3 linked regions of the Drosophila melanogaster genome follow. Changing the gene in region 3 together with the main gene of any one other region gives a genetic interaction. Each region holds a gene or a part of one and is shown on either strand. Other genes may lie near its edges.

What was found.
Region 1: of p38b (region 3) and Mef2, changing one suppresses a phenotype caused by changing the other (phenotypic suppression), as found in Drosophila melanogaster (one study listed by BioGRID).
Region 2: of p38b (region 3) and Cat, changing one suppresses a phenotype caused by changing the other (phenotypic suppression), as found in Drosophila melanogaster (one study listed by BioGRID).

The regions. Positions count from the first base shown.
Region 1 is NT_033778.4:9,924,561-9,935,101, reverse strand, and holds the start of Mef2 (myocyte enhancer factor 2), read left to right. Parts: upstream 1-5,486; 5' UTR 5,487-6,202; intron 6,203-8,232; 5' UTR 8,233-8,615; intron 8,616-10,541. UniProt on the Drosophila melanogaster protein: Transcription factor that could be a key player in early mesoderm differentiation and may be required for subsequent cell fate specifications within the somatic and visceral/heart mesodermal layers.
Region 2 is NT_037436.4:18,817,312-18,827,852, forward strand, and holds the start of Cat (catalase), read left to right. Parts: upstream 1-5,292; 5' UTR 5,293-5,474; coding exon 5,475-5,531; intron 5,532-9,026; coding exon 9,027-9,947; intron 9,948-10,044; coding exon 10,045-10,541. Other genes in the region: HipHop (HP1-HOAP-interacting protein), read left to right, coding at 3,996-4,661. UniProt on the Drosophila melanogaster protein: Catalyzes the degradation of hydrogen peroxide (H(2)O(2)) generated by peroxisomal oxidases to water and oxygen, thereby protecting cells from the toxic effects of hydrogen peroxide.
Region 3 is NT_033779.5:13,775,389-13,785,929, forward strand, and holds p38b (p38b MAP kinase), read left to right. Parts: upstream 1-5,300; 5' UTR 5,301-5,376; intron 5,377-5,478; 5' UTR 5,479-5,611; coding exon 5,612-6,709; 3' UTR 6,710-7,221; downstream 7,222-10,541. Other genes in the region: CG9008 (uncharacterized protein), read right to left, coding at 1-18, 83-420, 490-646, 710-768, 2,383-2,434, 4,257-4,344; CG16890 (uncharacterized protein), read right to left, coding at 7,222-7,557, 7,609-8,049; Eato (engulfment ABC transporter in the ovary), read left to right, coding at 8,782-8,964, 9,083-9,206, 9,398-9,598, 9,663-10,133, 10,192-10,350, 10,409-10,541.

The sequences.
Region 1 (10,541 bases), on a different chromosome or scaffold from region 3:
ATAGAACTCAATCTACTAAAACTTCAAAGATTATCTATATTTATAATCCAACATGGATCTTAATATAGTTACGTTCTTAGTTCCTTACATTGGCTACTAAATTAAACAAGAAGAACGCGCGGAATACTTTAGTAGATAGTTAAATAGCAATTCTTAATGGAAGTGCGAGGTTCTATATATCACTACCCAATCTCCCCCCGAGCAGCATCCCAAGTCGCTGCGTCACTTGTTGAGCCTTCAGATGGCTCACTGTTCCGCCACCCTACTCCTTGGATTCCCCACGCATCCAGTGGCTTTGTTTGCGGCTTCGACGAATGTCGCTTTGCATCAGCTTACAAGATTTATGGTATCCTTTCAACTTTAAACCCGCTCTGCTCACTTGTCGTCTGGGACTCACGCAGCAGCTTCTCGGTTATCCAACTCGTTATCTGAGTTCTTTTAGTCGATTTTTGCAGGGGGTATGCCGCACATGTGCGGACCCCGACTTTGCCACCGATTTCTGGGGCTTCTGGAGATTCTAGTGATTCTGGAGTTTCGGGGCGGGGGGCGCGAACGGCGCGATGCAGGAGGTCAACGTGGTACGCGTGTGCATTGAACTGAGCATCATAAATCGCTGGCGTCACGGACGCGTTTTCGCAGCTCGGAGTTTTGTCGTAAGCCGCCCCTTCCGCAGTGCCACCCAATTTTCTAATTTCCATTTTCGTATTTTTCCGCCTCTTTGCAGATCAATCTTTTGTACCTGTTGTGTCGACAAAATTGCTGAAAGCGAGCTCCCCGAAGAAGGTGAGTCCTTAGAACCTGTTTTGTTTTTCGGCTTGTTTCACCTTCTTATGAAGCACGTGCCTCGTATTATGAAGCTGGCCAACAAACACACACGCACTCGTGCGCAAGTTTGTGTTTGTGTGTGTCTGTGTGTGTGGGTGCAAGGCAAATATTTACACTCAATGGAACATAATAAAGACATTAGGGAAATATTGTGTTATGTGGGAGCATAACTCAGGTTCTGTGGGTGGAAATTGTATAAACTTATCAGGCCGCCGCCACCCCCTCGGGTTTTTCTTCTCCTCGATTTCTCTCCCGCTGTGTGTGAGTGTGTGTGTGTGTGTGCGTGCGGGACACTTTTCTTTATTGCTCTGCGAGTTGTCAATTTCCGTGTGTCTGCCTGTCTGCTTTCCCACCAGTTTTTCCCATCCCTCTCTCTCCAGCCAGGATGCTTGGTATTGTTTTCCACGAGCTCGGTTTTTGTTGGGTAGAAAAAAGGAGAAGGTAGTTTGGTTGTCGAGTGTTTACATTAGACTGCACATTAAACAGCAGTCGCTGCAGTTTTTTATAGGCAACAAGTTTCCTACTATACAATCTCGGGAATCACAATAAACAGTGTTTCGTAGTAATATTTAAAACAAATTTTCGGATGAATTTGTTGTTTACTTGACAAGGCAAGAAGCCATGACAGGACTAAGTTCTAAATTAACTTAAATTTTGTATTTTTAAATACTAGGACTTTATTAATTGTTTCTTGTTATTTTCGACCCTACTTAATCCCATGGATTCCAATTGTGATGCACGTTATTTTTAGCGTACTTTCCTCCCAAAAAGCGTTATAACAAGCTAAAATGTAACCTAAACCGCTTTTCAATGCCGTGAATTAGAGCAGCGGAGGCCAGCAGCTCACTCCCACTCAAAGTTTAGTTTTCCCCAGTACATGAATGTTTTAGTGTGTTCCCGAGTTTGCTTCAGTGTCAGCTGGGATATGCATAAATAACATTGATTGATATGCCACCCACTCGAAATTAGTTCGCTAGCTATTCCGAATGTTTCAAAATGATTACCCAACTCACTGTCGCTCGCCGAATGATATGACACTTAGTTGATACTAAAGCACACACTTTATAATTCTATCAATGGGCCAACTTATGAATGAATGCGAATTCAGTTTGGGGGAACTCAATTAGCTCACCTTGAATGTATGTCATCAGTTTCAATTATAAACCTTTTTGCAGCTCGTCCTTGCCCCAAAAAAAGAGTTCTCGCATTAAATATGTGCCATTTTCCCAAACCAGCTCGAAAGGAAAAGTGTGAGGAGTAAAGAGATAAAAAAAAAAAACAATTTGGTAACAAGGGAAAATGGTCAACGGTGACAGTTTTGCGGACGGCAGGTCGTTCAGTTCAGGATGTGTGCTAAAACAGTTGAAAAGTTTTCTATTTGCCGTGCCATGCTAATTGCACGTCGGGATGACAGTCGAATCCAATTAGAGGCCAGTTTTCGCATTCTAAGCCAGTCCAAATGGAAGGTTAGGCATCCGTTCTTCTTCGCTGGGAACTTATCAGTCATGCAAACAGAGAAATGCTTTCACCGTCGTATCTCGTATCCGAATCCGAATCCCTCGATCCTTCGCCCCGCAATGACACACGTGTTAAGGTGGAATTATTTGGGCTGACATCCAGAATCTGTAGCTAAAAGAGGCATCGCCTCTGCGTGGGCGTTTAGCATTGGGGAAAATTGATTAGATTAGGCAAAATTCGACGTTGTCGAAAAGGAGGAGCGGTAAGAGGAACAGTAGCGTACTTAAGCTGGCATTTAATCACATTTAAATTGCACTCAATGCCCGGGGAAATTGATTGAGATTTTTATGAATTAGGGAGCAAGTCGGAGACCTAAGCCCGTTTAAGTCGAGCAATTGAAATGTAATTAGGCAATGCTAATGGCGACACCTACCCCTCTCTTTTGGCAGAAAGTCGACCAGCTCCCCGGAGACTTTTCCGAGTCGAAATCACTTGAGCTGAACTGAACTTCAATTGCTTTTTTTTTCGGGGCCCAGCATTTGCATAATTGATACCACCGCAGACATTTTTCAATTTCGAAATCTCGACGAGCAATTAAAAAGATGTTTTTCCTGTAATTCCGTATGCTTACAACCCTCCGGATACACTTGGAGCTGTTCTACTGCTGGGTATCTGCAAGATGGGCATGGCACGAAGGGCAATTTGAATGAGATTTATGAAATTACCTACGCAGCGTTTACAAAAACATCATCGGCGGAGGGCAGTGGCGTGGAGATGAGTTTCACGTGGTTTGGCTTGTCTTGGCTTGGGGTACTCAAAGATCCCCCTGAAGAAACCCCTGCCAAGCAGTTAAAGTCGGACTCAACGCACATTGAGGCCGATGCTGCTGCTGCTGCTACTGCCGCAGATGCCGCATGTTGCACATGTGTTGAGTGCATGCAACATGCAGCATCAACCGTACGGCGCACAGCATCGGGGTACATGGTCATGCGCAAATCGCCGGGCGGCGTTTATTGAATTAAGACTGTCGACGACTGTTTGCAGTTGGCAGTTGTCGCACCCAGTGGAAGCGTTAAAAGTCACAAGGACACTGCAAACGGGAATCAGAATGGAAATGGAAATGGAAATGGGAATGGTAATGGGAGTGGAAGTGAGAAAGGGATCTTCGGATATACACACATGGATCGTTTGCTGCTGGGTTCGGTTCTCAAAATGCAACATTGTGGCGCCGCCGAGAGGCGAGGGCCATAAAACGGGTAACTTGGTCGCGCTGCACTTGGTATCGGTTATGCGTGATTTTTACAGAATCCATTCACTCGACGGGGCGGAGCAATATCTGCGGCATCTGGCATTCGCATATTACTCGGAAAGTCACGTTAAAGTTGCGTCCACTTAACTGCAACTGCAATATGGGCATTCCTTAAGATTTCACCTCCCTTAATGTCCTTTTGTCTGTGTTTTAACTATCACTCCAGTTATTAAATCGCAACTTACAGTAAACAAGAAAATCTTTTAATATATTTTCTTATTGATTTAAATGCCATATGGTAATGGCTAATCACTAAAATTCTCGCTATTGGAAATATTTTTATTATGTATAAATAGACGCAAAATCATTTCCTATATGGGTTAGAACTATAGATGGCTGGAAAGTAGCCACAGCTTTTATTTGCCTCCCAGATGTGGACTAATCACATACAACGTTCCCAATTTTCCTGCTTTTATAAAAGTCGATTTTTGTAATAAACTCTATTGGGATCAAGTTGGGGTACATGTATCCCTACTTTATTATCTTTTCGCCTACATAACCTGCATAATAGAGCGTGTTTAAGGTAAATAATATCTCGCTTAACGCAACAATAGACAGGGTCTGGGTCACAGGGCTTTGGATCCCACTTGGCTGGCTGGCGGTCCGATTCACAAATTAAGCCCCAACTTCAGCCATACAACTACTTTACCTCTGTCTGAATAGGCAATCATCAATCGAGCAGAAACAATGAATCGTTGGTTGCCGCACACCCTAGGATCCTACGGGTCCTACTCTTTGTCCCTTCCGATTCCTTCCTGTTTGTTTTGTGTACCCGCCAGCAGACGAATTACAGGATATGTTGTATGTTGTATCGCACAAAATTAGGTAACAAATGAAAAAAGGATTTACGCTTTATTTTTTCTGAATCAAGTTCAACATTCTAGTTTACGTTCACATCGGAGCTAAGAAGCTAAACAGCTGTCACAATTCCAAAGTTAATATAACCTATTAAAAATGAAATTAATTTTAATGATAGTTATATCATACTTCGCGTTTCTAAAAGGCGTAACCACAGCCAGTAAGTATGCCCCATCTTTTGTAACAGGGTATCGAGTATATACTTACCTTTTTTTCTACTGCCAAACGCAGGTCAACAAAGTTTTTATTAAGCTGCGTCGAAGGGGAAAACTAATGGTGGGTGGGTGTTTATAGAGAGGATCCAGTGGCAAGGACAAATAAATAAAATACACACAAAAAAAAAACCAGATAGTGGGCAAAGCGGGAGGGGAGAGGTCCTGGCAGGGCAGGGAGATACGGATACAAAGGAAAACGGAAACCAAAGCGATGTTTAGCAGGGGTGTAGTTAATGGGGGTGGTGAAGTGGGGGATAATTAACATTTATGGGAGGTTGCCAGAGCGGGACAACAAGCTCGGCGAGGGAACTAACTGTAACTGTTGCTGATTGATCAAGTGTGTGGGTGAGTGTGCGTGTGTGTGTGTCTGGCTGGGGCACAAACAAAAACCATATGTTTCTCGTTCGACTCCCGCACGCACTCACTCACAAACCGAATTACTCACTCACCCCCACCAGCCCCACACTCTAACCCCCCGCCACCTCTCGCTCACTCTTGCTTTCGTTGTGAGTAGGAACTCAAAGTCAGCGGCTGCGCACTCTCTCCGTCTCTCCCGCTCTCCGATTGCCCGGCAATGTATGTGTGCGATATTCTGTTACACAAAAAGGCAAAAACAAAAGGCACCGTTAGAAGGTGTGCGCGTGTGAGTGAGTTCACCACGAAACGAAAATCCTCACCGCCAGCCTACGTATACGTGTTCGTTGCTGGCTGTGCGTGTGTGTGTTAGTGTGCGACTGCGAGAGAGCCTGGCGCAGTGCAGCTGTGTGCGGGCGTATCTGTGTGTGCGTACTTGGCGTTACGACGTCAACGACGGCATATCCGTCAGTACGTTTGTACGCGTCCGCAGCGCCGCTTCTTCAGTTTTTCGGTTTTCGGGATTTCGAGATTTTGAGATTTCGATTCGATTCGATTTCGGCAGATCAGTTTGCGATCCGTTTGCGAGTTCGATATTTTCATTCCGAGCCAACGATCCAACGATCCGATTCCGCTAGCGATTCACAACAGATAGAGATCCTATATCGAACGCCGCGAGAAATTATGCTGGCCCGCTGCTCTCGCACTACGCGCAATAATTTATTTTTACTCCATATAAACAAATTCAACGTCTATTTCCAAAAATAAATGGCAACAATAATAAAAATAACAACAGCCGTCGGACAATTATAAGTTTTTATTTTTAACTTTTATTTGCGCCAACCGCGGCCGCGACATCCCCGCCCCCGCCTGCCCGGACTTTGTTTATATTTACAAAAAGCTAAAGCACACGACAAACACAACAGCAAACATATCACTGACTGCATTTCGCCCCGATGTTTATCGAACGAGCGGCGTAAACAAAGCCAGAATTCAAACAATAATTCAATTTGCATCTCAATTGCAAAGATTTTCGTGTGTGTGCTCGGAAACATTTGTGCAAACACCTCGCCAGCGACCTGACATCCCCAGAAAAGTTCAAAACTCGTCGGTTTCTATTGAGTAGTGTATTTTTGAGAACATTTTTTCGAGAAAACGGAAGCTCAGCTAAAAAGCGATTCATGTAAGTTTATCTACTGCAATGAGGAATGTTTTTGGTTTGAAAACTAGTTTTTAAAACCAAAGTACCTTTGCGAAATGGGTAGAAAGATTTTCATTCTTGTATTAAGAATAATTTTTCCTGTTTGTGATAACCATTTGACTTATATTTATGAGCGTCATAAAATCCAATTGAATGCCTCATTACATTATAAGTGATTTTCGGTTAGTCATACTTTTGAGACACATTGTTAAATTAATTATAAATTATGAATTATAAAACCTAATTTTGGTTATCATATCCACCTTTGCTCATTGAGCTATTATTCCGCCCAAAGGCTTAGTAATTATTTACAGATCATCGATGGGCTGTAAACCCCTCCTTTCATATGCCGATAGGGCAATTTGATTATATATAATTTACAATTACAAAAACACTGGCAGCCGGCATGTCGGGAACCAAATAAGCAAGTTACCCATGCACACTGACGTCATCGCTGAGCCAAACGTTGGGATTCCGAAGAAAAAAAAAAGAGATATCGGCCGGGTTTTCGAATTGTGCCTCGCTGTCTTGATTCCAGTTCAAACAGTTCCCTTTCAATTGATATCATTCGATGTTTCAATTTCTTTTCTTGCGATTTAATGCTGAGAGTAGCTGCCATACACTCGGACGGGCGAACACGCACACACAAATACTATATACGTTCCACTGATAAGCGATTTTCGTATCAATATTGAGGGCCCGCGAGAACCGTACTCCTCCGGCGAAGTTCAAATCCATTTCCCTGCTATCAAGTTCTTTTGCATGTAGTTTTTATGGCCGACCGACCGACCAACCGACTAACTGACTGATTGACTGGCTGGCTGGCTGGCTGGCTGATTGGCGAATTTGCTGATAATTGTCTGCACTTTGTTTCAGCCAGCAGCAAATGCACAGAGAATTATATTTTCTCTTATCTCGCCTCAGGCAGCTGGACATGCGTGCAATGCACTTTGACACCTACGCAGGATCATAAGGGGGGTCGCGTGGGAAGGGAGTAGGGGAATTTCGTTTCGATCCAGGGAGCAGTGGGTTCAAATAACAAACAAAGCCATTCGAAGGCGATAATCACCGCAGATTTGCCGTGGACTTAGCCACGGCGATCGCCGATAAACGATTACGGTCATTCGGCATTGCAGAGCCTAGATAACGGGACCCCACCTCCGATCACGTTCACGTTCGGACCATCATCACGACCATCATTAACCTCCGAGATCTTTAACACTATTTGGTGTAGTCACGTTTGGGTCGCGTTTGTATTTTAAGTGTTCCATCAATAGAGAAATTATAATATTATTTATTTATTTTCTTTTTTGTATTTTAAGTGTTCCATCAATAGAGAAATTATAATATTATTTATTTATTTTCTTTATTATTTCATTATTATTTATCTCATTCTATAACAATTTAGTTATTTCCAATACCTAAAGCTTCATAAGTTAAGCGAAAAAATAAATGTTTTAACTGTTTTTTTTTTTTGGATGCCTTTCAATTAGTTTTGAAATTCAAAAATGACACACGATTCTGAAAAACTGCAAGTAAAATAAAGAATACAATCCATGAAGGAAAACCCACAAACGACATCTTATCAGGTCAAAATAATTTGTTGGCAAATTTTCAACGAAAAATAGTTGAGTTACGTTTGTTGTTGGCGTTTTCGGTGCTTGATAAAAAATTCGAAATCAAAATTTGTTTTATTTGCTCGTGTTTTTTTTTTTTTGCGGCCACTATCTGCCATCGAGAGCGAGAGTCTTTCTTATCACACGTGCGCATGTGAAGGTGCCCACGCTCACTGACAAGCCAAATGAAGCACAATCTGGTCGATGTGTTGGTGTAGTTATTAAAAAAATAAATGTTCCTTTGCCATTTGCCGTGTTTGCGGCTCTCGAGTGTCTGTGATAATTATGGTTATTGCCGCCGCGCTCCCCCACATATATTGTATATAAAAATAAAAATAATAATAATTATTATTATTATAACGATTTCTTTCTGTTTGCGCCTGTGTTTTGGTTTAGCTCCCTCCCCCACACTCCGCCCGCTTTTGCGGCTGTGTAGGTGCTGGCGATAAGATAGAAGTGCTCTAGGTGTACTTCTAGGTGACTCGGGGCCCGAGAACTCAAATTTGTTCGACTACCTTAACATGAGACGCGTGTTTCGGGGCGAAAAACAAAAACCTTGGATTCTTTTGCTTTTGCTGGCATTTCTGCAATCGAAATTGTTGATAAACGCGGTGCAGGAAGAGAGCCAGATATCGCGGAGCCAATGCGATTGCTTGCAAAAATATTGGAAATCGAAGTTTGCCGATATTTCACTTGCTTCAAACAGGCACATTTTATCTCAAAAGCATTTATCATTTGCCTTTAGCATTTACCACGAGCGTCGTATTCACAAAGTGTGTGTAAGTTGTGGATAATATTTTATAATATATAAATAATATACTAAAAATAGATGTAAATGTTAATAAGATATGAGGTAGTTTGAATTGAAATGTAGATTTTATGACAAGTTCATTTTAGTTTCTCAACTCGTCAGTTTTTAAAATCTATTCTTCAAACGCAATCCTATCCTCATCTCTTCGTCCCCAATTGGTATTGATGGCTATCCCCAGCATCTTTGCTCGTAATTTACAGTTCTAAACTCAACTTCCGACCGCCCCCGAAGACTACAAAAAAAAGTTCCGCCTCATTGGCAGTACGCAATGAGTCGTTTTCATCGCGTCTTAAAACGCGCGCGCGTGTCTTTAATTAAGTCAAGATTTATAACCGGGGTCCCAGGAATGCGTTAACTGCGGCACATTAACAACAATAACAAAAGTCGGGGACATTGACGGATCTGATCTGGTTGATGAAAAGTGAAAGTGAGCTGCGACCAAGGAAGTCAAGACAGGCCGAAAAGAGCAGAGCTAGTGAATTAAGAAAAATTAACAAATATATATCTAGAACACTCACTGGTCAGGCCAACGTGCGTATAAACCCACGGAATGGTTATTATTTGAAATTGAGGTGATAAATTCGGAGTTTTTTAAACTTGAAATTTGGCCGGTCAGCAGCCATAAAAACGGAATTTATGAAAGGTCTCTCGTTCGCGATCTCTGTCGCTCTAATTGAGGCTGAAAGCTCCAGACGGTGAGAGATTGCATTCAGATCGGCTCATCTCATTGCGATCGCAACTGGTTTTTGAATCGGTACGGGGTTCATTCCTCCAAAATACGGAAAAGTTTAACATTTGCATAAATTTGGCCGCAACAAATGCTAATTGAGCGCAATCAAGGCGAGCAACAAGTTTTCGCCTTTTAATGCCTGCTCATCGGAGAAAAAGCCGCAGAGCGTGATTCACTAAATCAAATCGATAATGTCCCCGCCTTTGTTGGTCCAAACAATTAGGGAAAGCGCAAAAGTTGCTAAGCAGAAGGCTTCCCACCCAGTCCGGTCCAACAGAGAAATTGAGAGAAACTGCAAATCAGAGGAGCTGGGCAAAACACCCACGTTCTTGAGATTTGTTCTTGGCCATTTGCCTAATGATGCCGTCGCAGTCTTTGGGCCAATTAAATGGTGAAGCTGGCAAACGTGTGGCGGCAGTTTGCTTCGTTTTAATTGCCCGGCCACAAGACAAATGTCTTGACACACATCCACCAATGGAACAGACTCGGCACATCCTTCCTACCTTCCTGCCTTCCTTTCTTCCTTCATTCCATTCGTCCTGCTGGCATCCTGCTCAAGTGCCGCCTTTGCCGTTGACCCAGTGAAATGCAGCAACCGCAAATGGTAGATTGTTGCAATGAAAACCGTGTTAAGTTCTTTTGTCCCCGGGCCACGGATGATTCCGCACATCCTTTGTTTTCTCGCCACATTCCGTTGCGGTGATTAGTCTACGTAGGTCTCTTCGCCCATTTCTCTTAACTTTTTAGCCGCAATTAGTCAAATATTTCTGCTGCCATTCTCGATTGTTTTCGCAGAGGCCCACACCTGCACCACTTGAAGTGCCGCTTGACTAAACAAACACCAGTGTATGCCCATTACTATACTATGTATTCCCCGCGAACGACGTGACCAATTGATTTATAAAGAGTTTTCGGAAACTTGAAATTCTTGCCAGATTAGATACTAGTTGAGTTGTTCGTGCTACCGGCCGCACAAAATGCAGATCTCCGATAAAACGATCAGTACGATTAGTATGATTGATGATTGAGTGGGAAGCGAACTCTACTTGCATTTGTCTATTAGCTATTAGACGTTACCTACTGCATGAGCTAAACATATGCGCTGAAAAAACTCCCTAATGTCTTAGATACTTTGATTAAAGATAGCAGCTCACCGAAAAACTC
Region 2 (10,541 bases), on a different chromosome or scaffold from region 3:
GATCCGGTTAACTTCCACACGAGATAAAAAAAAAAGCCAGCAGATATTTCTTCAAACTTAACGTTATTCATCAGAGCCAACTTGCACACACACACACACACACACACCATAATCTTGGCTTGTTCTGTTTTCGGTTTTCTCTGTTTGTTTCGAAACAAACCGGTTAAACGCTTTTTGCTTTTAGCAAAAAAGCAGCAGCAGCGGCGAGGGAAAAAGAACAGCACATAAAACAGAAACCGTTTAAGCGTACAATAGGCGTAGATAGCTAAGTTATAGTGGGTTTGGTGGAGCCAAAGGGGGCCTGGGGGGCAGATTGGGGGACGGGTCAGATTGACTACAACTAATTATCAACCCCAACGACGAATCGCGCACAGCTGTACAATGCAATCAGTTCAAATCGCTTTATTCTCGGCCTCCCATTTCCATTCGAAACATTTTTATCACCAATCGAATACTGCTCGGGCAAACATTGTAAGCATTTTTTTTATTGTTTTTGAGCTCTTATCAGCGGAGGTAAACCGGTTTCGACCCATTTCGTTTCACAGATAAGCCCAAAATGAGGAAACACCTAAACACAACACCAGAGCATGATAAACAAAACTAAAATCTAATCTATTTAAAGCCGAAAATAATGCAATAATAAACTTTCAGGTTAAATAAATTTGAGACCTAATTGAAACTAATAAGGATCGAATCAATTTGGTACAAAGAAGACAAAATATAATTATTATGCTTTATATATCGTGATGTAAATTATTAAGAAATGGTAGATATGTTGGGTTGTCTCTTCCTCATCATCTGTTTAATTCCCCAACTAGCATCGTAGTTAATTATGTATGGTTTGTTTGCCATTTTCAGAGAAAAAGCCCAGTAAAATTCAACTTCGGGTTTTAGTTAGTATTAATTTAAACAAATGTGTTAAATTACAGAATTTGAGCCAGCTTAGCTATGAGTAATTCGACAGCGTATTTTATGTGCATGTTTGCATAGCTTTCAAAGTTTTCAACTTTGTGTTCTGTTTGCTTTGGGTAATTAGTGAATCAGTTCTACTACATATTTCCCAAAGAGGAATACGTATAAATAAAACACATAATATGTATGTATAGAACATCGTATCGGTTTACAGGCTGATAACAAACTCGAACCGAGAAACGTGACTTGGAGCGGTCAGTAAGTCCACGAAACTCGGGCTATTCCAACTATTTGATCAAGCTATGCAAACATAGGCATTGGGAATGCACGATGCAACCGAGTTGCTAAAATATAACTCAGTAGAATGTTAAGGTCATTAAACATCTCAATGTTATCGTGCATCCATGACAAGCAGTTAGTCATGAACATAATTCGTATAGTAATTAACTTTTAGTTATGAATCTCTAAAAATATTTCAACGTTTTAAAATTGAAGGTTTATCAAGAGCAATATTATATACATATGTACCCACGTATACATTTAATATATGTCCTATGAGACTTTCTTGAATTGATAATTAGAAACTAATTTTCCATATTTTAATATACATTAATTTTCATTTTGTTATTCCATTAAAGGCCAGTGCTCTGCAGCTTAATAAAAACCATGTTAAAGCAAGAAAAAAAGCTTGTGATTTATCTTCGGATGAATGAAAATGAAAAGGAATAATCGTGTTCATTGAGCATCACCTTTTACCGTTAATTAGATGGCGATTAGACATGAAACACCGAAATTCTTCGACGAGCGTGAGAAGCTTTAAAGAAGAGCTTTGCGAAGGAAGAATGAACGAAAGAAAGACGAGAAGGCCGAGCAGCTGTTATCAAGAAAGTAACTGTAAATAAGCCACCTGTAGACATTTCGCATGCTCCAAAAAAAAATGAAGCGAGGCAACATGCCTTCCCTCCCTTTTCTTTTCTGTCTGTCTCTCAATATTAACGCTTTTGTTCGATACTTATGCCCACACTTTAATTAAAGCACGCACTTTTTTATAGAAAATCATCGAAATATTCAGCTTTGCTTCACTTACCTTGAGATTTTGTCCAAATATCTCGTTTCTTTGTTTGGCCTCTTTGTTGTGGTCCTAAGTACCGTTTACTGTTATATATTTATTGTAAACTGGCTGTGGTTGTTGTAATTCCTTGCAGCATTGCTTTTCACTTTACTTCACTAATGCACACACACACCACACACTCTCATATATGCAGAGATAGAAATGGGGAGACCATACACGAACGAAATTTCTCGTGCAGCAACTTTTTCTCTCTTTGCTTTCTTTCTTCTGCTTTATCTTTTTTTATTTTGTGTAAACCAGTATTTTGTGCCTTCTTTCACTTGTATGCTTTACGATGTTGTTGTTGTTGTCGTTGTTGTTTTATTCAAGAAATTGTTGAATAACGGTTTCTGTTAGCCGCTATGCTTTCGTGTTTGTTGTTGTTGTTGTCTTGAATTTCACTTTGCTTTCGCGTTTCACGCATTGCTGCTGCTTCTTCTTCTACGTCGCCGTCGTGTTGCTCCTTTTCGTATTTTACATTTTTTTTAGCCGTGGGAAACCTGTCCAGCAGCCTTAAAGCCGCTGTTTTTGTTGCTTTTCGTTTTTTGGCTAAACATTTTCATTGCTAAAAGAGCACTTGGGACTTTTATTTTCATAATTCATTTATCGCGCTGTAGTTGTGCGTATATTTATAAAGATAAAAGCAAGCAAACAGCGCAGCAAAATTCCAAATAAATAAAATTATTGTTGCTCAACGTTCATTGCCACACACACTCACACACGGCCAGACACTCACCAACACCAGCAGACAACGAGTCAGACACACACACATGCATACACTTTTTTTGGGGCAGCGTTTTTTGTTGTTTCAAGGCAACTTTATTTCTTGACTCTTTTTTTTGTATTTTCCTCCCCCGCAGGGAAACAAAGAAAATTTCACTTGTCTCGCACACTCACACCACGAAGCGCGCACACAGACACGGTGCCTTTCCCAAAGGAAATATTATTTAAAACATTTATTGACACAATTACAAGGTTTTTGCTTCTTTCGCTCGACGTTGTTATTGTTGTTGCTGTGGTTGTTGCCGCTTGCTTGCTTTTTTCTTGCTGTTGTTGTTGGCCTACTTTGTGTGTTGTTGCTGTATTTTTTCTCTCCTCTTTTTTTTGTTGCTCCAACTTCTCTCCTTTGCTTTGCTTGAAAAAATTTCACACGCGCCGTTTCTTTTTTTGTCTCTTCTCTTTACGTAAATTAGATTGCCATTTGAAGTTATCTTTCGAGGGATTGCACTTGGTATTAAGCTATATTATACATATACGTGTTGCACTACATTATATTTATAAAAATTATGTGTATTCGTTTGAAATTTTAATTGTGTTTTTATAAAAAGAAAATCAGACGAGACGAACGTATGAACAATGAATGACAAAAAATAACCTGGGTTTAATGGGCTAACATTTCGCGTCCAACAGCACGCTGAGTGCTGTTCGGCGAGCAGCTGATTTTGCAGTTTTCGGTATTTTCAGTATTAGTTGGTATAATTACAGTTTGATTTGAATGTGGTTTTAGGGTTTTAAAAAATGTGTTTTTAAACTCATTTTAATTGATACAACCAACAGAAGAAATACAGTCAATTTTCAAACTAACTGATATAACATAAGTATTTCATGAACATCGAACACGCCAATAATTAGATTATTGTCAATTTTAAACGAATAGTTTCTTCATATTAATTACTTAACTGGCATTACAATAAGCCACATTTAAATTGTGAGAAACTGTGACCATGTCAGTATGTTTTTAGATTTTATAACATTTAAAAAAATTGAATTTGTTTATTAGTTAAATGCATTTTATTTTACGCCTAATTTTGGTATATTTCAGCAATCCATATGTGGTCACACTATATGTTTCCAAAGTGGCGGGACAATTGGCTTCATGTTTCGTTTTGTTGCGTTTGGAAGTTAAAATGCCAGTGTAAGCATTGTTTTGTAAGCCCGAGTTGTGGAGAACTAGGTGCATGATCTATTCCAGATGGCCTCCATTGACGAGGGCTCGCGCGTTGAGCGGAGATTCTGCGCAGTCGGCAACCACACGCTGCGGAAGCCGTATCGCCAACTGAACAACAAATATTTGGTGCGCTTCGCCTGTTTGCTGAACAGCGAAATTCGGGCGGGCAACCTCATCTGCTGCAAGTGCTACACGGACCTGGTGCGACTCTACCGGAAGAAGAACGACAATGCCAAACGGCACAAGATGGCCAGGGAGACTGCCGCGAGCATTACGGACGTCAGCGGCAGTCAGTCATCGTCGCACCAAAGTGCGCCCTCTTTGCATGTCTCTGGCCAAAGTTCCGAATTCGGTGCCTCATACAGTGAGGGGGGCATTGTGACTCCCGATGAAGAGCTGTGCTCCCACAGAAGCTTAAGTCAAGATTCAGACAATGTGCCCACTACCAGCGCTGCAGCGATCCAAAAACGCCAGCTTGCGAGGGCAAACCTAATGGTGAAACCATCGCAGAGGCTGAGCTTGGCCCAGACTACTCCGGATTGCGACGACTACGACCCCAACTCGAATCTCAGTTTGAACGCCGTGAATGGCACGCGACTGCCGCACATTCAGCCGATTCCAAAGAGGCGCCCGACCGTCCTGGACAAGCAGTCCATGGATATTTACTTGATGGGAACCACAGGTGGTTAGGTGATTTTTTTAAGTTGTGACTAGAGAACAAGATACATATGCTAGTTGATGCTAGTTTCTAAGTTTCATTTAATTAGATATTTTTGTACGCTAAAATAAAGAAAGACAGAGATGTTAGCTTGGCAGGAGCCACAGAAAGATAGCCGCCATTTGGAGATTTCCTTGAAGTTTATAATTTTAACATGTTTAATGATATTTACATATATTATATGAATGAAGTACATTTATTTTAAAGGCACCACTGGAAGAGGTTCACAACTTAAGAAAAAAAGAGGCCATAGATATTTATTTGGCAGGAGCACCAATAGATAGCCGACTTAGTTTATAACTTAATGATGCCGACATTTTCATGAAATTAAAAAAATAAATAACTTAACAAACAGTTTAAATTTATTCACCTTTCTGGGCAGCAAATGGAGCGAAGGTACTATAAATTATCAATAATAAATCTTAATGGTGTTGGGACACGTTTTTAAATGGACAGTGCAAAAAAAAAACTTTGAAAATGAATTTCATACTATTTAAATACAAATATGAATAATAATGGATATTATGTAATATTTAAGCGATATATTTCCAACTATAATCGAAATATCGATATCTTCGGCCCACTCGACAACCCTGAGCAACAACAAGTACGTGGTGCTGGGCTATAAAAACAAATGGAACTGCGCTGCAGTTGCTTTAGTTGACAGAATTCTCGACGCAGTCACAGCAAAAAACCGAAGGCGGCTAGAAATCAACAACTTTCCAGTTCGAGTGTTTCTAAATTCTGGTTATCCCGTTGAGCAAATATCCTAAATTTTAAGCAAAATGGCTGGACGCGATGCGGCTTCCAATCAGTTGATTGACTACAAAAACTCCCAAACGGTGAGTGTGTTGGTGTGCGAGCGCGAGAGAGCGCAACTGCATGTGTGTGCGTGTGTGTGCCGGCAGGAAAATAAGAAAACAAGAAAGGCAAAAAAGACAAAAAGAGAAGGGAGAAGCATTGTACGAAATGAAATAAACAAAAAACAAGACAATTTCAGTAACGATTGCTATGAGCCTGTACTTTCCATTAATTCCATTAATTATTAAAATGCGAAAAACAACAAAGGCTTGTCCAACAAATGCCAGTAATGATGAAGTCGTTTCCCCAGAGTTCGAAGTTCAAAAGCCGCCTCTCTGGGTCTTCTATTTATTTGTAGAAATCTTATCAGAAGTGAACTGATAAACCTTATCAGTGTGGCAATTCTTATTGGATTTGTGTTTTCTGTACCTAATCCAAAGTTAATTTTATTTTCCCTTTTATTTTTATTTTCCTTCTTAAGGAAATCCAAAGTTTAGTCTAGCTAACCTATTTTCTAACCTTGGGCGACCTCTTACCTTAGTCTATTTTCATTTTTCAGCGCTGTTTTCACTTAGCACTTCCAATTTCATTTGGCACTTGCATTGTGCATTGGATTTGAGTATTCGAATTTGTTCGTTTGCACTTTTGTGTTAATTATTCGCTTTCGCTTTTGGTTTAGATTAAATGCATGATTTCAATTGTGGAATCGTGCCCTCTTAAAATTTTGAACAAATATTGTTTGTTCACACTCGGAAAATTGTACTTTCCTAAATTCGTGGCATTCCACAATTGCAACATTTTATACACTGCAATCATTTTTGAAATCAAATATGCTGTTACATTTTATAAAAAGGAATGAAATATAACAAAATCAATAGTAAGCCTCACCCATAGATACTGTATCTATATATAATTTACTCGGCAATTTCCCTGTGGTTTTCCCAATGCCCTCTAAAAATCGATAAATGAAATAATAATTCTGCATAGCTATTTGTCAGCCAGTTGATAGGCATCCAAAACAGCTAAGTAATTGGCCCAAATAGATTAGATGTATCAGCCGTATAGATATTGTTGAGTGCCCACATTTGGTTAGTAACTAAAGTAAATTTCCATTGGATTTCGATACTTTGTAAGTATGAATTGTCAGTTCTCAAAGAATACAATCATTTTTTGTTTTTTAATTTAGTATACCTTTTTTTTACCCTATTCAATTAAGGCTAAATCTAGAACTTAGTTCTCGCATCAGCGATTTAAGTGCATTTGTGCATTGAGTCACGAAGCCAATTACTCCACTAACTAAAAGCAATCAGCGGTCATTATTTTATATAAACAAATATAGATATGAACTTTTTGAGAAACGCGATCGCTGGATTGCACCGCTTGTAAGTTGGAAAATTCGTTGGGAGTCAATGGACTCTGCGGCGACCGGCTCAATGTTGCACAAACTGGTTGCAATGCGCATCGACTGCGAGTGATTCGAGTGACAACGAACCCGGCTTTAAACCCGTTTTGGGTTGAGTGCGGAAGGCTAGACCGCTTCGGAAAATGCGTGTGCCAGTGCCATAAGTCAACGCAAATTTTCTTTCTCCAATTTGGTTATGCAACCTGGCTGGAACGCCCGGCTAAAAGCGACTGTATGTGAGAATATGTTTCGAACTGACCCAGAAAAGAGAGCTAGCTCCACAGTTGGTTGGTTGGTTCGTGTTGTTTTAGTCGATTTTGACCTTCTATGACGAAACTGTGAAAACTGCATTCTGTCAGGCAATTAAATGTTTGCCTTTGTTTCGGTGAATAATCATGGCAACTGGGTTCTTTGTTCTTTTGGGAATCTCGCAATCGAGTTAATTTGTTATCCAAGAAATTCGAAAATGCAAGGAAAATACTTGGAATATTTTGCAACGCAATGCATATTGCGTAAGGTCATTGTGAGTCGGTTAAGAACCCTATAAAAATCCTTATTTAAAATCCTTTAGCTTATTTTCTATGCATTCTCATTCTCGAATGAGTAACCTTCTGCTGATAAATTATGTCTAGAAGGCAAATTTATCTCATACTATCAGGTGCACTGATCTTATAAAGCCGCCTCATTAAGTTGCTGTTTGCCATCTTTGTGTCATTGGCATCGCCAACAAGTTGCAATTAAAAACTTTCCTGTAGACTGTGTTCTTTGCATTTCTATTCGAGATCGGTTGCGGTTCTCTTATCAGTTTGCTCTTCGCTGGAGATATCTACAACCAAATACATACATACATATATAAGAACGAAGGCTCTGATAGGAACCAGATTGACTTGTTGGACGTGGATCGCAGTTCCAGCGGTTCCACTCGCATTGTCATTCCCGGTTTGCTTCACTTATCGTATCTGCCCCCTGAAGTGGCCCCATATTAATGTCTCAAAGTGCAAAACATTCCGGCTGAATCGGCCGAATCTAAAGGGTGACTCCAGTATAAATTCCAGAATGATAATTTCGAAATTATATTCATTTCTTCGTTTTTATGTAGCGCTTTTTGTTTGTCAATAAGTGGGTATACTACTGGCCTGTCTAAGCTGATTTTATTATTAAATAGATACATATATACTTCTAGGAACTAAGATTTGATAAAGTCAACTACTAATTCCTTAAACAATTGTAAAAGTCTTAGTGCCCAACCGGGTAATCCCAACCCAAGTGCTATATGTATCTAAATGACTTTGTTGTGAAATATAAACAGTAGCTTAATTTATATGTTTGACACACCACCACCACCACCACCGGTGGCTTCACTTTGATAAACAACCTTCTGTATAAAATTCTATATGCATTGTTCTAGAAATGCTTTCGAATTAGAATTTCGCATGGCGTTGTTCAGGTTTCAAATACATTAGCTAAACAGTGCGCATTGGCCGGTGACAGTTTTGCAAATTGTTGGCTGAGTTAATTTTATAATGAGTGGCTGGCCTGCATGCGAAATAAACGATAAGGTGATTAAGGAGCGGTCTCGGATTACTCTAGGGAAATGAATTGAAAACAAGGAGTATGATTAGATCGACTGATAAATGACAGGACAGCTGGTGGGCTAATTGATATTTCAGATGGACAATACACTTTTATTAGCTTAATGGAATGAAATAATTAATTGATCGCCAGCTAATAAACTGTGTAACATCATTTTGATGTTTGAATACTTTCATTTAATTGGTTTTTTCCTTGCACACGGATTTGATATCTTGACATGTTAATGCAAAAAACCCATACATCATCACTATATTAAGGCCTCAAGCTCTTAAGAACACCTGGGATCTCTTATTTTAAATTTATATGCACTGCAAAATGACCCCCCGTGTAGAGATAACGCTCTGCAATCTTTATGTTAATGTTTTTTTCTTTTGGTGAAAATCGAATGATTAAATGAAAGTCCGCGGGCCAAAAATGAATTATCGCAATAGGCCCGATAAGATTGTAAGACACTTGAACCAATATATTGTTGCTGAATGTTGCATAGCATTTTAAAATTAAAATACATTTGATTAAACTTGACTTTCATTTGCTTTTGCAGGTTTCTCCTGGTGCCATTACCACCGGCAATGGAGCACCCATTGGAATCAAGGATGCCTCCCAGACGGTTGGTCCGCGAGGACCTATCCTGCTGCAGGATGTGAACTTCCTGGATGAGATGTCGCACTTCGACAGGGAGCGGATTCCAGAGCGTGTCGTGCACGCCAAGGGAGCTGGTGCTTTTGGTTACTTTGAGGTGACCCATGACATCACCCAGTATTGTGCCGCCAAGATTTTCGACAAGGTCAAGAAGCGCACTCCACTGGCCGTGCGATTCTCCACCGTGGGTGGTGAGAGCGGATCTGCGGACACCGCCCGCGATCCTCGAGGATTTGCCGTCAAGTTCTACACTGAGGATGGCGTCTGGGATTTGGTTGGCAACAACACGCCGGTCTTCTTCATTCGCGACCCGATCCTATTCCCCAGCTTCATTCACACCCAGAAGCGCAACCCGCAGACGCATCTGAAGGATCCGGACATGTTCTGGGACTTCCTCACCCTGCGACCGGAGTCCGCTCACCAGGTGTGCATCCTGTTCAGCGATCGCGGCACCCCCGACGGTTACTGCCACATGAACGGCTATGGCTCGCACACCTTCAAATTGATCAACGCCAAGGGCGAGCCCATCTATGCCAAGTTCCACTTCAAGACGGACCAGGGCATCAAGAATCTGGACGTGAAGACCGCCGATCAGTTGGCTAGCACTGATCCGGATTACAGCATTCGCGATCTGTACAACAGGATCAAGACCTGCAAGTTCCCCAGTTGGACGATGTACATTCAGGTCATGACCTACGAGCAGGCCAAGAAGTTCAAGTACAACCCCTTCGATGTCACCAAGGTCTGGTCGCAGAAGGAGTACCCTCTGATTCCTGTGGGCAAAATGGTGCTGGATCGCAATCCCAAGAACTACTTTGCTGAGGTTCGTTTTTTTTTTTTGTTTCAAATAGATTCTTCTTCATTTGAGATTAATGCAATCAAAAGAAAGATAACTAATATGGTAATTTTCTGACCCTCAGGTGGAGCAGATCGCCTTCAGTCCCGCTCACCTGGTGCCCGGCGTTGAGCCCTCTCCGGACAAGATGCTGCATGGTCGTCTGTTCTCCTACTCGGACACCCATCGCCATCGCCTGGGACCGAACTACTTGCAGATCCCGGTGAACTGCCCGTACAAGGTGAAGATTGAGAACTTCCAGCGGGATGGAGCCATGAATGTGACGGACAACCAGGATGGTGCCCCCAACTACTTCCCCAACTCGTTCAACGGTCCCCAGGAATGCCCCAGGGCCAGGGCCTTGTCCTCCTGCTGTCCGGTGACTGGAGATGTCTACCGCTACAGCAGCGGCGACACCGAGGACAACTTCGGCCAGGTCACCGACTTCTGGGTGCATGTGCTCGACAAGTGCGCCAAGAAGCGTCTGGTGCAGAACATTGCCGGCCATTTGAGCAACGCCAGCCAGTTCTTGCAGGAGCGGGCCGTCAAGAACTTCACCCAGGTGCACGCCGATTTCGGTCG
Region 3 (10,541 bases):
TCCAAGGATTCCAGATGACTGAATATATATCAAATATATCACTTCACACACTTTAAAATATCCTTTTGTGCCATTTACTTACCCGTATCGGGAAAATTGTACTTGTGCAGTCTCATCTTCCTGCCGGACACCACGTTTGTGATGACGTGCTCCTGCGGCGTGTGCTGGTAGATCCTGTCGGTCCACTCATTGACGGTGACCACCTCGCGTCCCTCCTGATAGAGCGCATTCTCCCGCGTCTTGTCGATGAAGTGACAGCCCTGGAGGCCGGTGATCTGACATCGGCGCACATCGGGCACCTTTAGGTAGGTGTGCAGCAGCATGTTGAAGGTGAAGCTCAGCTCCTTGCTGGGATTGTAGACGCCGATGTGGAAGTGCAGCTCCTTTTCGCGCAGGATCAGCCTATAAGTGATGCGAAACCTTTGAAGGAAAAGAATTTAGTTGCTAGTAATACAATCTCTATCTAGCAATTTAAGTGTTCAAACTCACTGATAATTCCATATGGATCGCGTAAAATCGTTGTCCATCAGCGAAAATATGGCCTCCACATCGCCATTGTGAAGCCTGTCTGGCGGTCTCTCCAGGTGCCACCTGGTAATCCTCGCAAATCCATGCTGCGGCCCAAAGGACCACGCACCGAACTGAGCTAAAATGGTGGCCAAAAATGAACTAATCGCTGAGCAAAGCTGCTGGATCTTGGCAGACTTACGGAAGACAAAGGGAATCCCACCGCGTATCGCCTTCTTGCCATCGAATGAGGCTAGTTTGCTGTGGAAAAACAAGATGGGTTTGAGTCAAAAGAAGGAAAAGGAAAAAGAAAAGGCTCGTTTAATTCGGTTAGATGCTACTCGAAAATATTCCAGTCATAAAAACGCTTGCAGACCGAGACAGACATTCAGAAATTCAGAAATGCTATTAGCAGAAAAAAGTGTCTGGCAAAATGCTCCTTGCCCCTTTTTGTGTGTGTGTGTGTGTGTTTTGTTTTTCTCCTGTCGCTGAGGATGACGTTGCCGCGAGATGGGACTTGCCTTGGGTTTCGTCTCAGCTAATTTGCCGACGCATCCATCAAGCAACTCCTTCTGCCCCGGGATCTACCTAAGCTGCTCCTCCATGTTCTGTGCATCATTTGTAAATGTTTTCAGCTGTGGATCGCATTGGGCATGGCCAAATTTCATTAATATTCTGAGATTTCAGCTCGGCATTTACTTGAAAGCGGAAGAATTACTGACAGTCTTTGAAATAGTTGCCTTGAAAAATATATATAAGGAATTTACTATAAAGGATTCACGTAATTATACGAGTTGTTTCGTAATTTAGAACATAAACAATCTAAATGTTAAGTGTCTTTAACCAAAGTTTTTCCATTTCTGTAAATTTCGAAATAAACCTATTTTAGCCCAGGCCGTCTCGAACCCGGCAAATAATTAATTTAGTTTTTCACTAGCTCGCCTTGTCCACGACCACTGCCAGTTTTTAGTGGGTTTCCGAATGCCGAATGACTGTTGGCCACAAAAACCGTCGAAAACTTTGCAGCAGACGAAACAAAAAAGAAGTTAGGAGAGCGTCGACGAGGGGCTAACACACTCCAATGTATTTGTATTTGTGTTTGTATTCGTATTTGTGTTTCTGTTTCTGTTTGTGTGGGAGCTGGCCAAGAACCCGGGAATTGGCCGAAAGTTGATGGGACAACGAACCACTGTGCAACACTGTGTGGAGGGCCTCCCCATGTAGTGGGGATTTATCGATCTAGCTGGCCGCGCCAAAAACTCCATTCATAAAAACTTGCACATTGTTTTGCCACAAAGGGAGGGGAGCTGGATATGGAAGGGGGGCTTTGGGAAGCCCAGAACAGGAGTAGGCAGCAACAGGGCGAAAAAAAAAAAACGGCCATCAATGGAGGCAGCTCCTCTTGGTTGCAAGTGCAACGGCTCCTAGTTGGCGAGCTGGGGCATTTCCCCGCCATCCCGTCTCTGTCGCTGTCCCAGTGTTTTTGTGTTTTTGCCATTCGGTCGCTTTTGGTTCGGTTCGCTGGTTCGACGTTTGGGCCCGCTCGGTCCCGACGTGTTTTTTGTTGGGTGTCATACAAAAACATTTTGCCGCCAAACAGAATGGCTAAGGCAGCTCCTCCTGCTGCTCCTCCGGCTCCTGCTGCTGCTGCTGCTGCTGCTGCCCAACCTGTCAACCGCCTTCCCCCTGGACTCGTCCCACTCTCTGCTCCTTCTCCACCAGCGATGCAAACTTTGCGAATCACTTTTTTGGTTGCATGACCAACGCACAGCACAGCACACCGTGGGCTTGCGTAAGTTCGGGCTTAAAGTTTGGCCAACGCGGCGTATGAGCAATGTTTAAAGGGTGCTACCTGACAGAGTTCAGTCCACTCACCTGACAAACAACTGCTCCTGATTGTTTACCCGCCAGGACACGACCGTCGCACCTGCAAACAGAAGGTAGGCAAATAATTCGGTTTATTCGAATAATATTTACAACAAATATTTAAAAAATACATAAGGAATGCTGTGGAATAATAACTAAAGATGTGCGGATTTCTAGAAGGATATAGGGACTACATGTACTAATCAAATAAGAAGAAATATATATCAAGAGGTATTAACTATGCCCCCAGTAAATCGAGTTCAATTCAAGCTTTCAGCGGAACTTAACTAGTTTTCAGTTTTGTACAATCGTACTATGATATAGTAAAGTTAAGAACTAGAAATAAATGTAATATAACTATGTATTAATAACTAACTATTAATAAACACTTATTTAATCTCATTTTATTGCATTGTCGTTGAAATTAGTTTCAGTAACATCGGAACTTGTGAATCAATGAATGAATTCGAAGCTGGATCAACTGTGGGAATTGCACAACAACAACCTAAAAAGCAAAGTACATGACGCACACACTTCTAACCCACATGGCTAACACATACAAACACACACACATACGCGCACACTTGCACGCACACAATCGCAGAGTAAGTAACTGGCCTGTAAGTAAACTAACTGGCTGAGACCGAATCTCTGGTACAGTTAAAGACTGGGATATGGGTTGGTTTTGGTTACGCTACGGGTATGGATCTCTGGGCATGACGATGGCCTACGGCCAATGGGTGGGTGAGCACTTGGCTGCGTGGGAGGAGCTGCTGCTATTCCCCAAAATCTCGCTCAGTTGGCCCCAATGTGCGATGGGCTTTCGACAGGCCGTAGCCACTGCTCTGGCACCTTGATTATTATGATTGGAAACACTTTGGTGTCGAGTTTAGTTAAAGCTCCTCCGAAAACTAATAATTAACATTGTTCGAATTACATGTGATAAGATACACTGAAAGGAAAACAATGCATCAGTTTAAGTATATATCTTAGTTTTTCACAGGCCATTTAATTGAAGAGGAAGAGTAAGTGGAACACGAAAAATAATCATATACATGGGATCATATAAATATCTTTAAGAAAATCATTGCAAGTGAATTTAGTAAAGATCTTTAATCCTTAATGCCTTAGCCACTGAAACTCTTTCCGATAAGAAACTATGAAGATCTCAAGAATTTCCATTAGATATATATGTAGTTATTTCTTCCGGTGTACGATATGCTGTCTGTTCCAAACGCTGTTGTGTCTCTGGCCGTCTGACTGTTGCTCAAACGGCTGCGACTTGGAAAGCAACGTGGGCAGCCCAGACACAGGCAGTCGTAATTGTTGAAAGTACGCTGGGTACACCAGTGCCAGCTCACATACATACATATGTACATAGGTGCTCATAGAGAGGGACCTGTATACATATATGTACGAACCATATACATATATATGACGCCTAATCGAAATGTGCTGCGAGTAGGAGCCGCATCGATCCGATCTCCAAGATCCAAACTCCAAGCTCTAAGCTTTTCCAAAACCGAAACCCAACTGATCCCCAGCGATTGGATCGAGTGGGGGCATATATGTACATATAGCGCCTAAATTGCGACGATCTCGGCTGATAAGATAGCAAAGGCCCTCTGGCTGGTGCGTAGAACAGCGAAAGGTAAAAACAAGGTTATTTCCAGAACGAATTGATAACCTCCAGAGGTCGCGAATACATCGAGAATAGGGGGCGAAACGGGTTTCGGTTTCGGAAGAGTCTAAGCGCCAATCATCCGCTAAAAATAACGCCAACAAAATTTTGGCAAAGTGCTGGTGGTGTCTTCTTAATTATGATTAATTGTTCGCCAGCTATTCATTTGTTGTTTATCATTGTTTCAAGACATTCTGCTCACCGTGCAAGTTGATGGTGCAGGTTGTATTGTTTCCGCGATCCAGAACAACTACACTCGTTGCGGCCATTGCGGCCGCTGTCGTGGCCATTTTGAATTTTCCTAACGGTAAAGGTATATCCGGGGGATCGTTTGAGATCCTGTGTATGTTTGTGTGCGTGCCTGCCTACTGAGGGAGTATATCTTTGAAAAATTGGGTACGAAAAGAAACTGTAGCTCCGTGGCACTTAAAGCAAGGCGATCTGGTTTCGTACTCAAAACGGGCGTCGATTGAACTTTAATTTGCGCATTTACATAATGTTTGCAAAAATTATTCTGCACACAAAGCACCGCACTCACACAGACGCGCCAGCACACACACACTCACTCGCACACACACATACACACGCACGCACAGAGCGCAGCTTGAGTTTTTGTCAATGAACAAATACGTATGGAAAAAACTCGTGCAAAAAACGTTCGGGCGAAAAGCGTCACGACCCGGACCTTCGATGTTCTGCCAACGAGCGACCGATTGAAACTAAACCAGCTTGCGCCAACTGACCGCCTTCTGTTACCGGCCCATGTTAAGCTTTAAAATTAGCTTTATGTCCATGGTCGACGAGGGAGTACTCTACCTTAAAATTATATTTTTAACGTATAACTAAGTATTTACTGAAGTGGATGATATTACCACATTATTCACGAGTTTATGGTTTCATATAAGTTCATTTTTTGCTTTAATTAATGCATTTTTAATTTAAATATTTCTTATTCTCAAAGGTGTGATAATAAAGAATACATACATAGAACTCTCCAAATAATATTGAAAGTATTTAAATTGTAATATAATCTTAAAAACTTTAATCAAAATTGCATATAAAAATCTAATTATTATTATTGTTTGTGACGATCATGTACTCTGTCAACCAAACTGCGCAGAAGCTTTGTGAATTGATCCGCTGCCTCGATGGACTCTGATTTTTGTAGGGGACACCCTAAAGCCAACCATGTTAACGCATAAACGAGCAGCAGCTGATTGGAAATCGGACCCATTTGCGGTTATCGATAGCCAAGACAGCGTTGTTGTCCAATCAGAAAAGGTGTAGGCGCAGCGGAATAGCATAAATAAAATCCGAGAGATGTAAGTTGCAACTTATTTGTGCAGATACAAATGAATCTGGGCAGGAATACCCGAAATTAGCTACGTTTTCCCGTAATACCCGGTACGATTACTCATTTCCAGCAATGTTGAGGCCGCGAAGTGTGGAACAGAGATAACTAATCCCACAAGCAAGAAGAAGAACTGCCCAAAAAAAGAGCCAGCGGATTAATAACATTATAGCACCGCACCTGAGCGTACAGAACATCCCAACGAAATGTCGCGCAAAATGGCCAAATTCTACAAGCTGGACATCAATCGCACCGAGTGGGAAATCCCGGAAACATACCAGAACCTGCAACCCGTGGGTCAGGGTGCCTACGGCCAGGTCTGCAAGGCCGTGGTCCGCGGAACCAGCACGAAGGTGGCCATCAAGAAGCTTGCCAGGCCCTTCCAGTCGGCGGTCCATGCGAAGCGCACCTATCGGGAACTGCGGCTGCTGAAGCACATGGATCACGAGAACGTTATTGGTCTGCTGGATGTCTTTCATCCAGGACAGCCCGCCGATTCGCTGGATCAGTTCCAGCAAGTGTACATGGTGACCCACTTGATGGACGCCGATCTGAACAACATAATACGCACGCAGAAACTGTCTGATGATCATGTCCAGTTTCTGGTCTACCAAATCCTGCGCGGTCTGAAGTACATCCACAGCGCTGGGGTCATCCATCGTGATCTAAAGCCATCGAACATTGCGGTAAACGAGGACTGTGAGCTTCGCATCCTGGATTTCGGTTTGGCCCGTCCCGCAGAAAGCGAGATGACCGGATACGTCGCAACGCGATGGTACCGGGCGCCTGAGATCATGCTCAACTGGATGCACTACAACCAGACGGCGGACATCTGGTCGGTGGGCTGCATCATGGCTGAGCTGCTGACTGGGCGCACGCTGTTCCCTGGAACCGATCACATCCATCAGCTGAACCTCATCATGGAAGTGCTGGGCACGCCAGCTGATGAGTTCATGAGCCGCATCTCCTCGGAGAGCGCTAGAAACTATATTCGTTCACTGCCGGTGATGCCGCGCCGCAATTTCCGCGACATCTTCCGCGGTGCCAATCCGCTGGCCATCGATTTGCTGGAGAAGATGCTGGAACTTGACGCCGACAAGCGCATAACCGCCGAGCAGGCGCTGGCCCATCCGTACATGGAGAAGTACCACGATCCAACCGATGAGCAGACCGCCGCGCTCTACGACCAGAGCTTCGAGGAGAACGAGCTGCCGGTGGAGAAGTGGCGGGAGATGGTCTTCAGCGAGGTGACGGCCTTCAAGCCCACAGCCGCCTTCGCTGAGCTCCTGCCCAAAGAGCAGTAATCCCGGCCGCCATCCCTCTCCGTTCAATGATGCTATATACAATTAGAACAGTCTTTTCTACACCTAGTTCAAGCGGATGCGCTCAGTCGTGATTTCTCTACTCGTCGAGTGTAAACAATCGGGGATATTTATTCTAGAGCGATTTATATTTAGAAACTCTTCAGTGGCTGGATTTCAACAATTTGTTTTGACCACAAACGTAAGGTGAAATAGTATTGTATTTTCGAACCTTCGATTTGCATTCGATGGATATAGAAATAGCGATTGAACTAGGTGCATGCCTGAAATGTAGCCATTCGGAAATGTTTCCAAAAATCAATCAGAGTCACAGCCTTAATGTCCAGTTCAACTTTAGATTTGGTGTCGGTTTTAACACGCAGTTCTTGTGAATAATCCTGTAAATGTGAGTGTACATGTACATCGTAGTTCGTAAGCGAACGCATCTAGCGGCCAGTAACTATAAAAAAGAGCACTAGTGTCTACGTTGAATCCAAATAAATGTGCTATGTATTTTAAAAAATGAGATCCTCTAGATATCGCTCGAATTCCTGCTCTCTGGAGGCTTGCTCTCGGCTTATATCGGGTTGTTGTTGCCAGATCTGTTCGTCTGCCGTGGTGGCATCCTTTGAGTCTGTGGGCTCCTTGCTGGCTTCTGGATGGGATTCGGATGCTGGTTCGACAGGCTCCTCCTCCTCTTCGCCAGAACTTTCGTGACCAACATCGAGTTTTCGACGCTTACGTTTCTTTTCAGCGCGCCGTTCCTCCTTTTCCCTGCGTCTCCGCTTCTTGCATTCTCTCTTCTTGGTGCGGTAGTTCAGCTGATCCGTGTGGGTGGGACACAGCCGCACCTATGGAATTCCCATTAGTGACACAATCGCGGAAACCCATTTGGAACCCACCTTGACCAGCGCATTTAGGGGCTCACCCTTTTCGATATACCTAAAGTTTACCTCCCAGCTGCGCAGATTATCCCGCTCCCCGCAATGCCGGCTGCCGCACTGGAACTGCCCGGTTCCGGTGACCACCTCCTGCTCCGTTCGCCAGCGCAGCGCTATCTTGTTCTCCTTGTAGCGGGACAGGTCCGCGATGCAGTACTCCTTAAATAGCTTCCTGTAGTATCGCAGGGCCAAGCGCTGCTCCCAGCTTAGGGTGTCGCTATCCAACTCGTCGTCCTCCCACAGGAAGCGGTGATTCTCTCGGATTACATCGATGTCTCGCTTGTGCCGACGTGATTCCGTCTCATTCGGTAGGTTAAGCACGTAATTACTAAGTATATAGTTGTGTCGCTCCTTGGCACTCAGGTTGTTCAGATTCACTGGGAATAATTGCGAGCCGCTCATTATGATAAAAAATTTATAATAAACAGACTTCGATTTCAGGGCACTGCCTATCGATATATCGAAGACTGTGGTCCTACTCTGGCTATTTTTACGCTATATATTAAACGATAAATAAAATGAAGCTGCAAAATTTAATCACAAATTGAAATTATTCCAACTGAATATAATAAATAAATTTTAATATATATTATTGTTATTAACCAAAATAAAATGGCTATAACAAGTTTAGAAGAATGGCCCGTAATGGCGAAACTGCATGGTATTAATCTTAGCCAATACATATACTGTTTACACACTGTGGAATAAGTTAAATTTCTTACTTTAAAGGTACAAATTAAGAGTTCTTTGCTTAATTAAATGCAACTTTTTATGAAATATAATTAAACAATATTTATTTTACTTATAAATCAAAAAAACAAATTAAAAATGTGAAATATACAAGAAAATAAAAAACAAATTCCAAGTTTACACACTTTTTAAAATTATTTTATGACCCCCATTGGCTTTGGCTACGAGTAGACTGTACACTTATCAGTAAACAATAATTATTTGTAGCGTTCCTCCGTTTTTTACTACAAGTCCAATGTTATTGAATTCATTCCCACAGTGACTCAAGTCTCAGGAGCGGGTGCGGTTCCCATTTCGATAAGTATTACTATCGACGTTGATAGAGAAAAAATGCCATTCAACAAAGCAAAGTAAAATTAGGGAAAAGTTGATGTTAAACAGAAAATGGCTGGGACTTTTACCCCGCTGTTCTTCGTCTTTCTGCGGAAGAATTTGCTCTACTTGCAACGCAACTTGCTGCCCCTGCTCCTTATCTGCTCCGGATTTGCCGGAGTACTCACCGCGTACCTCCACTGGTCCGTCAAGCCCGTGCTTCACCAAATTAACCAGTTTGAAGCAAAGAATGAAGTAAGTTTCCCTCGCACTGCTACTTTATCTGCTTTTTATATTTGTACATACGTATGCATGTGATAACAAACCTGTGACCACACTAATCCTTATCATTGGACTTCAATTTATTTATTAGATGGTTCTTAGAGAATTGTACTTTCCCGGTAATGAGCTGGATTACATTTACTACTCACCCATCTCTCCCAATGTAGAGGACATTATGGATCTCCTGCGTGTAGATCTGGGAATTATACCAGAGCGTAAGTGCATTTCCAAATTATCTCATAAATTAGATATGTGGAAAAGTTTGTATGGTAAACGTAAACGTTTCCGACCATATAAAGCTTATATGTACTTTTGATAACGATCATACAAAATAACATACAAAATTCACTGCATATATTTGCGATACTATCTTCTAGATTGTATTTAACAATATTTCATTGCGCAGGACTTCGGCCCAACAACAACAGCTTCGAGATGCAGCTGGAGATGGAGCAACAGTGCCGTGGAAGCTGCTTCGCAATTGACTTCCACCGGGTACCGAACCGTGGCTCTGACAGAAAGTTCCGATACAGCCTCAGCTCAAATCAGATGCGCATTTCGCCCAGAAAGCGATTTGTGAACGACGAGGAAATTTATCACCAGATAGGTGCGTGTTCAATTTTTCCATTGTTACCGTTTAACGAACCCGCATGTTGGTTTTTGTTTATCAGATGATGATGATTATATTCGTTCCGGATTCCTGTCCTTGCAACACATATTGGACAAACAGTATATGAAATACCAGGAGCTCGGGAAAGACTTTGAGGTGGTGGTCAGCTCGATGCCCAACATGGAGGTCATCAGCATGGATAGTCATCGATTGACATATTTCGGAACACTGTGCAGCATTCTATTCAATGTGGTCCTACTAAGCAGCTTTGTGGTGCCCTTTGTGGAGGAGAAGCAAAACGGACTGAAGGAGTTTCTCAACCTGGTCACGCCCATGAGTTTCCTCAACGGCCTCACTTTCTTTCTCATTCGGTTTGTGTGCTACACATTGCTTATGATCTTTGTCCTGGTCGTTGCATATTTATACAAGGCCCTGGGCTCCATCTGCTTTGCTTACGTGGCAGTGTTGTTTCTGCTTTACATTTTGTCAACCATGTCGTATGCTTATCTGATCTCTATTTGCTTCCACTCAGGTAAGTAATTACATTGATATATTCAGCAAAGTTTACTAATCTTCTACATAACTTACAGTTTTCTATGCGAAAATCGGAGGGCTGGCAATGCTAATAATTCCCTATGCATTCTCATTTGTTCGAAGCTGGGCCACATCGCTGGCATTTGTGTGTTTTAGCACGAATACCTTTCTGGAGGGATTGGATATTTTTCAGACATTTTCAAATAAGCGTAAGAGTTTAAATTGGTTTTTAGTAGCTTAACATTTAAATTTGAACACTGGCTTTTTTTGAAGATCGCGAATTCGGTGCTGTGGATGTATTTCGCGTAATCAAAAGCAATTCCTCAACGATGTTTTCGGTCTACGTGGTTCTCGTCTTTCAATCCTTTTTGTATGCCATGCTCTACAACTATTTGGGTTGTGTTTT